Linked DNA regions of Elephas maximus indicus. The protein of the gene in region 1 interacts with the protein of each later gene in a biochemical or structural test. Links are inferred from orthologs where the notes say so. Each region holds a gene or a part of one and is shown in the gene's direction. Other genes may lie near its edges.

Evidence for each region.
Region 2: the proteins of RALGDS (region 1) and RAP2A form a complex in vitro, tested with the Homo sapiens proteins (2 studies listed by BioGRID). The link is inferred for Elephas maximus indicus from reciprocal best matches to the Homo sapiens genes RALGDS and RAP2A.

What each region holds. Positions count from the first base shown.
Region 1 is NC_064827.1:84,192,498-84,200,313, reverse strand, and holds the start of RALGDS (ral guanine nucleotide dissociation stimulator), read left to right. Parts: upstream 1-4,733; 5' UTR 4,734-4,773; coding exon 4,774-4,956; intron 4,957-7,816. UniProt on the Homo sapiens protein: Functions as a guanine nucleotide exchange factor (GEF) activating either RalA or RalB GTPases and plays an important role in intracellular transport. Interacts and acts as an effector molecule for R-Ras, H-Ras, K-Ras, and Rap.
Region 2 is NC_064832.1:92,112,714-92,119,835, forward strand, and holds the start of RAP2A (ras-related protein Rap-2a), read left to right. Parts: upstream 1-4,045; 5' UTR 4,046-4,068; coding exon 4,069-4,382; intron 4,383-7,122. UniProt on the Homo sapiens protein: Small GTP-binding protein which cycles between a GDP-bound inactive and a GTP-bound active form. In its active form interacts with and regulates several effectors including MAP4K4, MINK1 and TNIK.

The sequences.
Region 1 (7,816 bases):
TGACAGCATGGGGGAGTGGTGAAGCTGATAGGCGTTACTGCCATGGCTCCTGCGCTGGGGTTTCTGACCCTCCCTCGAAGGCTGCTGGGAGCCTCAGGGTTGTCAGAGGGTGAGTCTCAAACTGTGTCCTTTTTCTTTTTTTAACTATCATTATGGAAAATTCCAAATACACACAAAAGAAAAGAAAATGGCATGATTAACTGCTGTGGTGCATCCCCAGATTTAATGATCATCAGCACAGGTCACTTTTTTTTTTTTTAATAATTTTTATTGTGGTTTAAGTGAAAGTTTACAAATCAAGTCAGTTTTTCACACAAAAACCCATATACGCCTTGCTACACACTCCCAATTACTCTCCCCCTAATGAGACACCCCGCTCTCTCCTTCCACTCTCTCTTTTTGTGACTATTTTGCCAGCTTCTAACCCCCTCCACCCTCTCATCTCCCCTCCAGGCAGGAGATGCCAACATAGTCTCAAGTGTCCACCTGATCCAAGAAGCTCACTCCTCACCAGCATCCCTCTCCAACCCATTGTCCAGTCCAATCCATGTCTGAAGAGTTGGCTTCGGGAATGGTTCCTGTCCTGGGCCAACAGAAGGTCTGGGGGCCAGGACCGCCGGGGTCCTTCTAGTCTCAGTCAGACCATTAAGTCTGGTCTTATGAGAATTTGGGGTCTGCATCCCAGCACAGGTCACTCTTGTTTCACCTCTTACCACCCCTATCGCCCTCCCTCTCCTGGCAGGTAATATTTATGCGGATCTCAGGGGTATCATTCCATCCATAACTAGCTCAGTATGTGACTCTAATAGTACCTGCAATACCATTATCCCACCAAAAAAATAATTTGTGATATTATCAAATATCCAGTAGTGTTTAAATAGTCCCAGTTGCCTCATAGTCTTTTTTTGTCTCCGTCATTGAGGCGTTATATTTGTACATGTGTATTATATCCCTGGAAAAAGAATCTCAGGATTTTCCCTCCTGTGTGTTTTTGTCTTACTTCCTCATGGTCCGTGATGCCAGCTGAGCTTATCAGTATAATGAGACCAAACTAATGGAAGAGAAGTAGATTTATTCTGCCACTTTTCAAAGTCTTTGAGTTGCATGTCAACTCTAAGGCCCATCACTGCTGTGAGGTTCATAACAACTTTCCCAGCTCTGCAATCATCAATGATTTCAAATTTGCCAACGTAAGCATGCTTCATCATCCCAGTTAGAAACCAAACGATGACTTTGGAGCATGGCCTGATAAGAACCTGGTGTTTGCCGGTCTTCTCGGTGCTATTGATGCTCTTGAGAGCGTAGGCCGGGATGTTCACGTACACCACTATGGCAGCACGGAAAGATGGTGGAAAGAGGGTGGTAGGGGCGAGTGCACGGTGTTATCTCTTAATTGTTTTTTGAATAGCTAGCATGTTGAAATCATGATCCAAAGTCCACGCATTGCGTTTAGTTGATGTCTCTTCCCTTTCTTTGATCTATAGCTTTCCCCTTCTTTGCTTTCACCCCTGAAATTCACGGGAGAAACTGGGTGGTTTTTCCTATAGGGATTGCCACAGTCTGAGATGCGCTGATTGCATCCTCACGGTATTTTTCACATGTTTCTCTGTTCCCCGGATCTCCTCCAAACTGGTAGTTCTATGTAGAGGCCTTACTGGACTCAAGCTCAGTTTCTGGCCTGGGTGTCACCGTGTTCTTCCACAGTGATGGCACAGCTGGGGGGAGGATTCGAGGTTAAGGGGCATGTGCCTTGCACACAGAAGGTGCCCAGGAAATTCAGCTCCTGTTGCTAACGGCCTTGAGGCAGTGTCACCTGCTTGCCTGATCTCGGGGCCTCAGGCACCACGGCCTGTGTGAGGTGCTTCCTCTGTGCCATCTCATTAGATCTCATTATTATTCTCACTTTACAAAGAAGAAAACTGTGACTCAGAGGTGAGGTAGCTTGCCTGGGGGTCACGGAGTAAGAAGCAGGCAGAGCTGGGATTCAAGCACAGATATTTCGATGCCAGAGCTTGCTCTCCATGCTACGCTGCCACTCTGGGAGCTAGGGCCCCGCTGTGTGGGAGTATGCAGCTGGGCAGGGGTGGGGGAGACCCAAAGTGGAGGCGGACAAGGCAGGGAGGGGGACTTTGTGAAAACAGACAGGCGCCAACTGGAGAGACTGGTTAAGTAATGGGTGGGAACTTTCCCCGTGTAGATGCTGGCTAAGCAGTCGGATGGGATACAGCCAGGCCTGTGGCGTTTGGGGAGGGGTGGTGATGGTTAACACCCCCACTGTCCAGCCCCTTTCCAGCCTTCTTGCCCCCCCCAACCCGTGTACCCCTGGAGCAGAGTGGTGGTGACATTGGATACCCTTGTGAGTCGCTTGGCCTCATGGGCCACTTTTCTGGCTGTAAAATGGGTACAGGCTTGCTTCCCAGGCTCTCCCCTCTGCGAAAGAGATAAAGAGACAAAGAGGGGCAGGGAGCTGCCCAGTTCACTCAGCCTGTTCCAAATTCCCAGATGCACTAAGCTTGGCCCTGGAAGACGGGGTAAGCTTGGCCCTGGAAGATGGGGTGGGAGGAGAAGCTTGGAGTCAGAGGGTCAGTGTCTGGGTCACCCCCTTGTTGCCCTTTGAGGAGTTTTTCCTCTGAATGAGCTGCTGCGCACCTCACCCTCCCAGGCAGCAGGGTATGAAGACATCCCGGGGACCTCCACTCCAAACCAAATCCAACCATCTTGCCCTCAAGAATCCCTGCATTTATTATATGTTTCTGATTCTAAAAATATATATTTTAGAAAATTCAGAGAAGTAAAAAGAAAAAATGCTTACTCCCACCCAGAAATAACCACCATTACTTTTGTGAGGTAGATCCTTCTAGTCTTATGCATATATTTACTTCCCAATCATAGCTGATGCATTGTCCTGTGTCGTGGAAGAGTCTGTTTCTCCTATGGCTTGTATGGCATCAAGAGTCCCCTGATTTATTTCATCATTTGGTCCTGGTGGGGACTTTGAGTTAGTTCAGTTTGGCAGTGTAATCAGTGCTTCCATAAACATTCTTGTATAGAAATCCCTGTCCACAGCTCTGTTTCCTTTTGATGAATTCCTAAGAGTGGGATTGGCCGGTCAAAGGGCATGAACGTTTTCAGTGCCCTTAATATAAACTGCCCAATTATTTCGTGCCTGTGTTTGTCAATGCTTGGCCTTGTGCCCAGACAGGAAACCTCCCGGCATGTGCTCAAGCTGCCCAGGTGGGTTCCCAGGGGATGTAACTTTCTGGGACCCCAATGCCCACAGACACCTGGGGTTTGGCATAGGCACATAATAGATGTGCAAGATATGTTTGTGGAATGTGTGGTCTGGTCCTGTCCCCTCATTTTACAGATGGAGAAGCCGAGGCCCAGTGGGTATGGGACTGATTGTGGGGAGGCTGGTGGCATTGCCAGGGCTGCTAACAGCAATGCCACCTCTGTGAGGACTAAGGGCCGAGGCTAGGGCAGTCCTCAGCAGTGGGTTAGGTGTGGATGTTCACTCATCCATTCTACAAATGTTTTTAAAATGCCTCTCTTGACCCTGCTATTAACCTCTAGGCTCCCTCTTCTTTGCCTTTCTGACTTCTGGAAAAAGCAGCTGAGGCTCCCTAACCCCACTGCCTCTCCATCACTCAGCAGCCTCACTTCTACCCTGACCTCTCCCGAGACAGTGGGCACCAAGGTTGCCAGTGGCTCCAGCTGACCAGGCCAGTGGACAGGTGCTCTGTCTGGCATTTATCACTCTTGATCCCTTGCTCCCTACTTTTTTTTTCCCCCTGTCCCCTTACCCTTTCATCTTTGCTTTAGAATAATTGTTGACCATTTGGTTTCATATAGATGATTTTTAAAAGATGCACAGTACTCACTGCTAATATTCTTTATTTTATGAGCCAATCTGTTATTTAGCTAAAGGGTGCCTCCCTCCTTTTTGAATTTCTGTAGACCCCGACCCTGGTGACTCCATCTCCAGTTCTCCCCCACCTCTGACCATTCCTCCTCTGCCTCCTTTCTGCCTGTATCTACTACCCATGGTAGCTGTAGTGCTGGAAGGAGATAGTGCGGGGAAAGGTTCTGGCAGGCGTAGCACACTACACTCCCCCTACCAACCTTAGCCTAGCACCAAGCACACAACACAACACTCAGGACTTCCAAATAGGCACGTACACCCAGCACGTGGACACCATTCCAGTACTTACGAGTACTGGCCAGCCCCCGGCACCCGTGCCTTACATCAGTTACCTAATGTGATCCTCTCAGCAACTCCTTAAGGAAGTGCTTTCCATTACACGTATTTTCCAGATGAAAAAACCGAGGCTCAGAGAGGGTAAGCAACTTGTCCAGGGCCACAAGGAAGGGCTGAACTGAATTCAGGGCCTGGCTTTACCTTCGGCTTCGTCACAGATCAACACGTACACAACTCAAGCCCATATAGTGTACGTACAGCCACATACCACACACACCCACACACAGCCGCACACCCTCTTCTCTGGCCCCGCCTCTTCTCCCGGCCCCGCCCAACGGCTCCAACCTCGCTGTTCCTCCAGGGCCCCGCCCCTCCGCGCGGTGGGCCCCGCCCCCGGCCGGGCCTCGCCTCCGGCCTGACATCAGCAGGGGCCGGGCTGCGGGCCCAGAGCGCAGGCAGCGCCGAGCTGCGCGGGCCGCGCTGCCGCCCCCGCCGAGCGCCGGGCTGGCCTCCAGCGGCCGCGCCGCCCCGGGTCCCGCGCCGCGGCTGGCCGCCCGCGCCGCTGCGACCCGTCCATGGTGCAGCGCATGTGGGCCGAGGCGGCCGGGCCTGCGGGCAGCGCCGAGCCGCTGTTTCCGGGCTCCCGGCGGAGCCGTAGTGTGTGGGACGCCGTGCGCCTGGAGCTGGACGTCCCCGACAGCTGCTCGGTGGTGCTGCACAGCTTCACGCATCTCGACCCCGATCTGCCGCGCCTGGAGGTGGGTGAGCCAGGGTGGGCCCGAGCCAGCCCCGATGGGGGTCGCGTCTGGAGCGGACTGACACACAGGCAGAGCGAGGCTGACGCGGGCTAGCAGCGGAAGGGGGCCCATCCCTCCTTGGTGGGTCACCCCCCTTCAGAATAGGTGTGTCGAGGGTCGTTCCGCAGAAATCCACTTCCTTGCTCAATCCCAAGACAGCAGAGTGGGCATGGGGGCTGCCAGCACCCCGGTCCAATTGTTTAGGGGCCAGAGCTGGGTTTTCGTGCCCCCTCCTCAATACCGTATCAAGGCCTGCTCTTGCCAGCCCAAGCGTGCCTACCGGAGCTCCTACATCACTGGAGTAGACCTTTTCCCGCGGTGCTGTCACTGTTTGCGTCTGTGGCCCCAGTACTGCCTGTGAACTTCCCGACTGCAGGGGTTGGGTCCTATTTCACCTCCCTTGCCAGGGAGGGGCCAGCACCCGGCATGTCAGGCTTTCCGGTAGCAGACAGTGGTTAGGGTGGCAAAGCCCTAGAATCCTCAGAGGCGATTGGGACCCTAGGGGCCTTCCCAACAGCCCCCTTTGGGGCCAACGTGGATCTGATGATGAGGGAGACATCAGGGTTGCTGGGGGCGGGGAGGGAAGGGGGAGACACAGAACTCCAAAATGTGGGGCCAGGTGTCCAGGCTGAAGGGGACAAGGTCCTCATTTCTGCTTGATTAGAAAATGCGCTGACACCCTGAGTTTTTAAGGATTTGGGAGGATTCGGGCAAGAGGGAGTGTGTATGTGCCTGTCAGGGATGGGGGCGGTAGGAGCCGGGACTCTTGTTTGTAGTGAGCCCTGGGCAGGGGGATCCAGTGAATGGCCTACCACCTCCAGCCTGAATCGCTCCTGGCTCCCTTACAACAGAGGCAGCAAAATGCAGGGCAGTGCCTCTTACCTGCCCTGCGTGGGTCCTAGACAGAGGGCTGACGGAGGCCACCCCTGGCCAGGGGGTTCAGAGCAAATTTAGGCTCTGTCTGGGCCAGTCCTTAACAGTGCTGCTCCTGGTCCCCGTGCTGCTTAGGGCCCCTTGGTGCTCCTCCAGCCCCTTCATTACTGCAGGCCACGGTGCATTGTAATAGCTGTGTTTGTTGGCCTCCTGAGAGCCTGGGTCCTGTGCGTGTATCTCTAGTGCCTGGACAGGGCCTGGATGTGTATTTGCATAGGGATAAAGCATGTTTCCCTGTCCAGCTTGGGGAGTGGGCAGGAGGTCGGGGGCTCTTGGACAAGAAGCATCCAGGGCTCTTAGAGGGGGTACTCAGGCCTGGGAGACCCTTTACTCCTGAGCTAGGCAGGTGGCAGGGCCAGACATGTTCCCATCCCTCATTTACCCAGAGCTCTGGTCTTCGTTGGCAGCTGGAACAGGCCCCCAGGGGAGTGGGGTGGGAGGCCCAACACCAGCCCAGAGCTCATCTGGCTTTCATTATGTCTGGCAGCCGCTCGGACATAATGTGTGCAGGGAGGGTCTGGCCTGAACTCACACGGGCCCAGCAGGTTCCTGGCCAGAGTGGGTGGGACTCGGCTGCTTTCCTCTCTTCTCCTTTTGTCTCTCTGTCCATCTACACCCTGAGGAATCTGAGGGAGAGGCAGGTCTGAACTCCTTCCCTGCTCAGGGATCTGCCTTCCTTCTCTCTTGCTGCTGCTCTCCCTCATCTGTCCTTGGTGCTGGGATCCAGGCTGTGGCCTGGGATCCAGGCCGTGGCCGCTGTTTAGAAATCAAAGGGAAGCTTCTGGCTGGGGCAGGAAAGCCAGGGTCCTGGCAGGAGAGAAGGCCACTACCGGAAACCAAACACAATGACCATTTACTATGGGCCCAGGGGAGGGGGCGGGGAAGTCCCTGTCCCTCCTGCCAACAACCCTCTCCCTCCCATACTGAGGCTGATTTCCTGGCTGCTATATCGTGCTAGAGCTCAGCAGCGCTGCTCGTTGCTCTGCTCGTTGTCCCTGTCCCCTCTGGGAAACCACCAGGCTCTGTGTGCCTTCCCTACCCCCAGCCCTATTTCCCTACCAAGCCTCCGCCCAGTCCTTGCCTCTCTGGGCTGCCAGATGTTGTTGCACATCTGGGCATCCGCTCTTCCTGGTGATTCTAACCAAGCAGGACCCAGCTTGTCCTGGGCAGTTCTGTGCTTTCTAGAGGTCACAGAGGTCCATGTCTCCGTGTCCAGGCAGGCCACTACCGTAGCCAGGTAAGAGGTGTTCTCAAGTCTGTAGCACGTGCTGGCTGCAGGCACTATCAGCTCATTCCATAGGGCTTAGCCAGCCCTACAGAGCAGGTGCCAACCTACTTTATAGGAAACCAAGGGTCAGAGAGGCCAAGACCCTGACCTAAAGGCATGCATGGCAAGAGATGATGTAGCCAGGATTCAGACACAAGCAATGTTCTTCACTGGAGCCTGCTGTGAGCAGAGCTTGTGGGCATCAGAGAAGGATAGGGCTGAGCTCGCTGTCAAGGGAATTGTAAATGCATGGGCAGGACTAGGCAGCTGTGGGAAAACAGGACCAGGCCCAGGCAGCCCATAAGCCCCAAGGGTTGGGCAAGGGGTAGGCCTATGACTCCCATGTCCCATCATTTCCTCCCCTGGCCTCCTTTCTGGTTGTCTGCTCTCTTGGCCTTACTGTGTTCTGGTCTTCAGCTTAACCCCCAGAGCTCATTAGCACCTTTGACAGTGGAGGCCCAAGATGGGTGGCCTAAGTAGTGTGTCTTTGCATGTGTTTGTAAGTTTTATGACATGGAATCTGTTTTGTAATCTTTGGGGAGGACCTTTTCTTGGCTGACTCCAAAGGCACAGCCTCCAGGAGCTTCAGGGACTGTCATGTTCAGGCAGGGATTGTCTCTG
Region 2 (7,122 bases), on another chromosome or scaffold:
CCTTCCCACTTTTTAACCTATTTCTATTTCTCAAAGAACAAGACAATGTCTTCTGCTCTCCTTCTAATTCCCAGCAGGGTGCCACAGGTGCTAATGTACGCGGTTTGTCCCTGCCTTTTATGGTTAATCGGAGATGAGCTTTAACAGGAATCAACAGGAACCAGGGTTTTACAGCCAAGATCAACGGTCATATTACACATGGCCTGTGCTAACTTGTTTATATTAAAGTCTCTGCATATTTGCTTCTTGCTGATGTCAGGAAGTCCCACAACACAGTGTATCCCCACTTCATTACACCTTTCCAACGTCTTTCACTGGAAGAAAGGAGCTGGGTTTCCATGGTAACGCATGGATGGCACTTGAGGGTATTTGGGCATAGGTATGACAACTCTCAGAAACCCTGGCGGCCTAGTGGTTAAGTGCTAGGGCTGCTAACCAAGAATTTGGCAGTTCAAATCCTCCTTGGAAACCCTATGGGGCAGTTTTGCTCTGTTCTGTAACACTGTGAGTCGGCATCGACTCCACAGCAGTGGGTTTTGGTTTAAGACAACTCTCAGATTCAGTGGAGAGAAGAGAGACCAAGTCTCCCCCCACCCCCCCCCCCAGAAATTCACTTCAGAAACTAAAGGGACCCAGCAGGTCAGCATGCAGTGTTAACACAGATTTATAACTCTAAACGAAAATTCAATTTTGTTTTATCTCAATTTTATTTTGCCTTTCTCACAAAGAAATGGGGGCAGAAGCTTTGATTTCTAAAGTTTCTCAGAACAGAGAGATGATGCTGGCATAGGAATGCACATGATGAAGGGACCAGGAGACAGACAGCCGTTACCCACACAAATCTTCAAAATTCTCTGTATGTCCCGACATGTTTCCTTACGGCTGCTAGTCCTTCAGCCAGGATTGCACATAGAGCCACCAATCAGGTAAGTACCAGGATCCAAGCCAGAACAGATAAGAAAGCATGTGCCTGCCTGTCACATTTCCTTTGCCTCCTAGTGGTTAAAAAGTTACTTCATGCCACTTGAGAATGCAAACTGAGGCCTGTCCATATCAGAACTATAAACAAACTGCAGTTACTCCAAGGGCTGCAGTCTCTACACTTCTGCTTATCAGAAGGTCAGCACCGGTGAAAGGTCAGAGGAATAGCCTGAGACATGCCAAACACCTCTCCTGCTCCATTATGCGAAGCAGACTGACTAAGGAGCCCACTTCCTATATTTGTTACAACTTCTGTTTGATGCACTCTAATCCAGAGCCTCCTAATTGTCTGGGAACCCAAGCTAAGGAGAACAATTGCTTAAGGTTACATACTGGGCCCACAATCCCAACACTAATTTCTCAAAAAAGAAAAGTCACTGGGCCTTTTTTATTCCTCGCAAAAGGAACAGATTTTCAACTCCACTGCGACATAAGGCACTGCACGGGCTGTAATGATCTACACAAAGACAGAACTTTGAAGCTCCTTGGCTCTCCTTAGCCTCCACCAAGCCCAGGAAGTTATTATCACCAAGTTAGACAATTCAGACCTTAAAAGACAGTCGGTCTTTCCTTAGAAAAGAAGTGTAGCTGTTACCGACTGAGCTCATGTACCTACAAATAAGAATACTAGTTTCACACAAAATACCAGACTTCTGAAATGCCAGGTGAACAGTGCATTTACCTACAACATCCTCCTGAAATGTCTCTGCCAAAGTGCTCAGATATGAAGCATTCAACTGAGCTCTCTCAATTTTAATTCCTATTTCACATTACTACCTTCGGTTGAGATATCAGATCCTCTTCTGTCTCTTTTAAATTATTCCTCTTAGTTCTTTTGCAATTTGCCTTCATACACTGCTGAACCTACTGACTCAGATATAACACTCATATTTCGATGATAATCAAGAAATAATGACTGAGGCATATTTTACTACACACTTTTAATTCTGACAGGACACTTCCTTGTCTTAAACAAAAACTTAGGGTGGTGTGTGTGTGCATATACATATTGTATATATATATCTTATATATATAGCGAGATAACGCGAATATGAATCATCCACTCTAATTTAGTGGAGTGATAAGGCATTAGGACACTGTCGAATCTGGGTATAAAAGTAATGGTGGAGAGGCACGCCAGAATCAAACGTTATGACTATAAAAAAAGGATTTATTATTCCCAAGAGATGTGAGAGAGTAATGGATGAGAGTAGACTACTTTTAGAAGGACTTAGTTTATGGGTGGTAAACCCAACAACGAGTTATTACAAAAATAATCCAGGGATGTCTGGGGCTGTGGGTGCAGAAGGGTACCTAAGCTGTAATGCTCGAAACATAACCTAAGTTTTAAAACAGGAAAACACACACACACACCCTATGCCTTAGGAGGCACCCAGAGAGGACCAACATAACTGCTGCACGATGCCTCCTCAAGAACAGGAAAATTTCTGTTTTCGCGATTCAGCCCACCTTCACCCCAATCCCTCAACACCATTTCCACGCCCATCACTGAAGGAGAACGCCACAGAGACTCAATTCATCACCCTCCTCTGCAACAACCCTCGTTGCTTTGCCAGAGGAAGCCACAGCGACCAAGCCCTCAATCACTGACGCCCTCCCCAGCCACACCAGCCCTGAGTCCCGTCTCCATACAACCCGGCCTTTGTAGCAAGACAATCGAAAGTTGTGGTTGGCTCAACCTAAGCCTGCGTCATTCACCAGCTCGCCTACGATTGGTTGGCAGAGAGTACGCAGGCGCAAACGCCCCGCCTGGAGAGGCATACGGAAATGGATGGCTGAGCCTGCAACTAGACTTCTTCCCTATTGGCTGAAGCAAGGGTGTCACGTGGCATTAGGCGGCTCCCTATTGGCCCTGAGTGATACCACGAGGTATAGAGACGTGTTGTGGTTGGCTGGAATGAATCCAAGCTTCCTACTCAATGCTCCAGCCGGCTGTTGCTGAGGCATCCCTGGTGTTCTTGGCGGCCTCGCAGGGCTCCGCGCTCCGGGTTTTTCCTGCGCCCGCAGCTGACAGGGCGTGGGAAGAGCTCGCCTTCAGTCCCGCTCAGTGGGAGGCGGGGCTAGAGGGGAGGTGGATGGGATCCACGTCGACGTCGCTAGGCGTGAACCCTGCCTCGGCGGTGTGTGTGGCCGCTGCTGAGCAGCTCCTCCGGCCGTGGGTGCTTGTCACCTGTCCGTCATTGCTCTGCCGCTGGGAACAAAGCTGCTTTTCCTTACGTTTATGCAACCTCGGGCAGAAGGCCGGAGGTGTTCTCCTCACCTTACACAGAGCTTCATCCCCACAGCGAAGCCCTGAGAAATACTGACAGACTGGGCGGTGTCAGGCAGAGCCCCTGCCCACGTCTTCCCTGCTTTGCTTGCATTAGGTTGGCCTGGCCCCGCTAGCGTCCGTGTCCGCCAAGACCCGAGACTCCGGCAGGCGAACTGGGCATGCTCAGTACACAGGCCCCAGGGCGCGGTGGGCTGTGCGGGTGGGGTGGTGGTGAGTGGCCGCGGGGCTTGTTTATTTAAGCGCGGGCCGAAGCTTCGGCGCTGCGCAGAGCCTCCGGGGAGCGCGCGCGGCTGGTCGCCTAGACGACGAGGGCCGGGGCGGGGCCGCGAGGCCGCGAGGCCCCGCCCCGGCCGCCGAGCCCCGCCCCCGGCCGCGCCGCGGCTCGGGCTCGGGCTCGGGCTCGGGCTCGGGCTCGGGCGCGCGCTCCAGCGCCGAGGGGAGCGGCGGCGGCGGCGGCGGCGGGCGAGGAGCTGGGCGTGGAGGCGCGAGGGGCGGGGCGGCCAGGCGGGCGGGCGGGCGGCACTGCGGGCCCGCGGCTCGGGCGGCTCCGGCGGCTGCGCTCCCTGCGCTCCCTGCTCGCCCTCAGTGCGCCCGGCTCGGCCCATGCCCAGGGCCGCCGCTCCCTCCGCCGCCGCCGCCGCCGCCGCCGCCCGGGGGGCCGCCGCGGCCGTGCGGGTGGGGCGGCCGCGGGAGGCGGCGGGGCCGGCAGCCGGGGCAGGGTCCGGGGGCGCAGCGCGGCGGGCGTAGTCTATGTCGCGGGCGGCGGGGGCGGCGGCGGCGGCGGCGGAGGGACGATGCGCGAGTACAAAGTGGTGGTGCTGGGCTCGGGCGGCGTGGGCAAGTCCGCCCTGACCGTGCAGTTCGTCACCGGCACCTTCATCGAGAAGTACGACCCCACCATCGAGGACTTCTACCGCAAGGAGATCGAGGTGGACTCGTCGCCGTCGGTGCTGGAGATCCTGGACACGGCGGGCACCGAGCAGTTCGCCTCCATGCGGGACCTGTACATCAAGAACGGCCAGGGCTTCATCCTGGTCTACAGCCTGGTCAACCAGCAGAGCTTCCAGGACATCAAGCCCATGCGGGACCAGATCATCCGCGTGAAGCGGTGAGAGGCGCGGGCGCGGGGGCGCGGGCGGGCGGGCGGGCGGGCCGGCGGGGGCAGCCCCTTCCGGAGGGGCCCCGGGGGGCGGCCCGAGCCGGGCTTCAGGGCGGGACTGGGCGCGGCTGTCCCGGGGCCGCAGCCCCGGCGCGGGTCCGCCTTAGGGGCCGCTGGCCGGGGAGACGGCCCGCGCGCTCCTGCTGGTTCTGCAGCCCTCCCCACCCTCGTCGTCGTCATTTTCCGTCTCCAATTTGACCGCTTTGTTTCACAACTAATATCTGGCACCCCGTTAACCCACAGCACAGCTCTTTGTCTCTTGGCTCGTCTTAGGAGCGCTTGTACAGAACCCTAAAGGAAACAAAGTTTAAAACTTGCAGGGGATTAAAGGGGTGGGCAGGTTTATGTCGGGAAGAGGATAGTGGAAGTCTAGGCAAGACATTTTCAGATTGAACCGCCCCCGCCCCCTCCCCCCGAAAAGCTACCTTTGCAATATTGATGGCAAAAATTGCTCACACATGGACTGCGAAGATACCACATCAAGAGCAAAGAGACCTTTATCATCCCAGAAAAGATTTAATGGTGCAAATGCGTCTTACAGAAATCAGCTCTCTGATTTAGTGCGAAACTTTGAAGCCAGATTGTTATTTGAAGACAGCAGCTCAGTGGGGTTGCAGGAGTGTTAGCTTATAGGTGCACAGATAAGCCTTTTATTCATTAAAAGAAGCGTGGCTTAACTCTGGACGGAAATGCTTTTTTCTTCCATTTGGTTTTGTTTCCATCTAACCATCCCCCCCCCCCAAAAAAAGACGGAAGAGTCTTCAGATGTGTAAGTCGGGTATTAGCTGATAAAGTTACTACAAACGAGCTCTTTGCCGATATAAACTCTGTTCTAAAAAGTTATGGCTGGTAGCTTAAAGGACATGATGTCTGTTTTCTATTAAAGTTGACTGAGTATATTTTTCCCTATGATTTTGAGCGTTTGGCGTGTTAGTGTCCTGGTTCAGAGTTTCAGCAAGTTTCCCTAATTACTGTTGAATTACACATGTTTGTCTGGTTCTTACTGTGAGAGTCTCTGCAGATAACCTTATTGATGTAGTCTCATTTTCTTTTTCCTACCCCATTCCACCTGTAGCCATACATTTGAAGACAGACATTGAAAGATAGGTGCGAGTTTACCACAAGCACAATCACACCAGAAGGCAGCTTGAGTCTGCTGATCTTGAAAAAGCAAGGACCAAGCGCGGTGTACTCAGGGCATGCTCAAGAACTCTGTCAGCAGTGGGTTTTTAACGCAGTGTAGGAGCTTCAAGGGGAGGCCCTCTCCCCACCACCCTCCTTAACCAGATGACTGTGCACTTCAATAGCTAAGTGAAAGTTTTGTGTTATCCCTTCAGTTAAATTTCAAACTAGAATAAAGTCAATATTTTTATGGCCTTTGTTGCTGAGATCTGTGAGTCTGATAGCCTTTTATTTCTCCAGTCTCAGTATCTTCAAGTTGTTTATGGTTAACAGATGGGCAGTTTTGGTGTTGATAATGTATATGACATTGAAGGAACTACACCATTCAAAGGGAGCCCTGGTGGCATAGTGGTTAAGAGCTCAGCTGCTAACCTATAAAGGTAGGCAGTTTGAATCCACCAGCTCCTCCTTGGAAATCCTGTGGGGCAGTTCTTTTCTATATGTAGGATGACTGTGAGTGGAAATCGACTCGACAGCAGTGGGTACCATTCAGGGGACTCAAATGCTTAATTATACTTCACCACCCCACCCCCAACACCACGCAATTAAAATGAAAAAAATCTACGAGCAGAGCAGTCTAACACGTTGCCACATCTCAGCGTTTGACCAAACACATAAAATAATAATCTAAGTAAGTGCCCCAGCTGTCCCACCTTTCATGTCTTAACATGTCCATATAAAGGTGCATGCATACGTTATAAAGCCACATACCCAGAGCAAACCTCTTGGCCCGAGCCTAGGGGGCAAAATATGGTAGACAAGATATCATCGGATAGTATAATTTCTTATTTAGTGCTGATTATTTTTCTCAGTATGTAATGTTTTAGTCTAAAATTGGTGTCCTGGGACAACTTCTTGCACTGTGGCCCGTTGCGGGGGGAGGGTAAGGATAAATTTGACTTGCCTGCATGTCGCTGTACTCACTAGGTTCCCTTCTTGGTGTAAAAAGACCAGTGAGCAGCTAAAGTGGAGTTCATCCACTCTTCACTGGAATTCTACCATTTTCCCCATGAAGAACCACTGAGACTTTTATGTTCACATCATGTTTTTTTATACCCCTCCCTAACCTCATCATCTGGTTTCCCAGACCTTACCAAAAAAACCTTTGCAGTCAAGTCCATTCCGACTCTTAGCGACCCTGTAGATCAGAGTAGAACTGCCCCACAGGGTTCCAAGGAGCGGCTGGTGGAGTTGAACTGCCGACCTTTTGGTTAGCAGCCATAGCTCTTAATTACTGCACCTCCAAGGCTCCCCTGGCTTCCCAGCATATAGCATATTATACAAAAATTAAATTGAAAGAGAGAAAGGACTTGTGTCTGTTATCTATCTACAATACATAAAGCATATATTATACTGGAACAGGCGTTCACTGTGTTGGTTCTTCACCCCTCCTCCCACTTAAAGAGGATGAAACATGGTTTTCAAATAAGTGAATTTTCTACTCTTTGGGGAATAGATTTTTTAATTAACCAGTTACTGAACAAAATATTCAATAATTCTTCTCTCT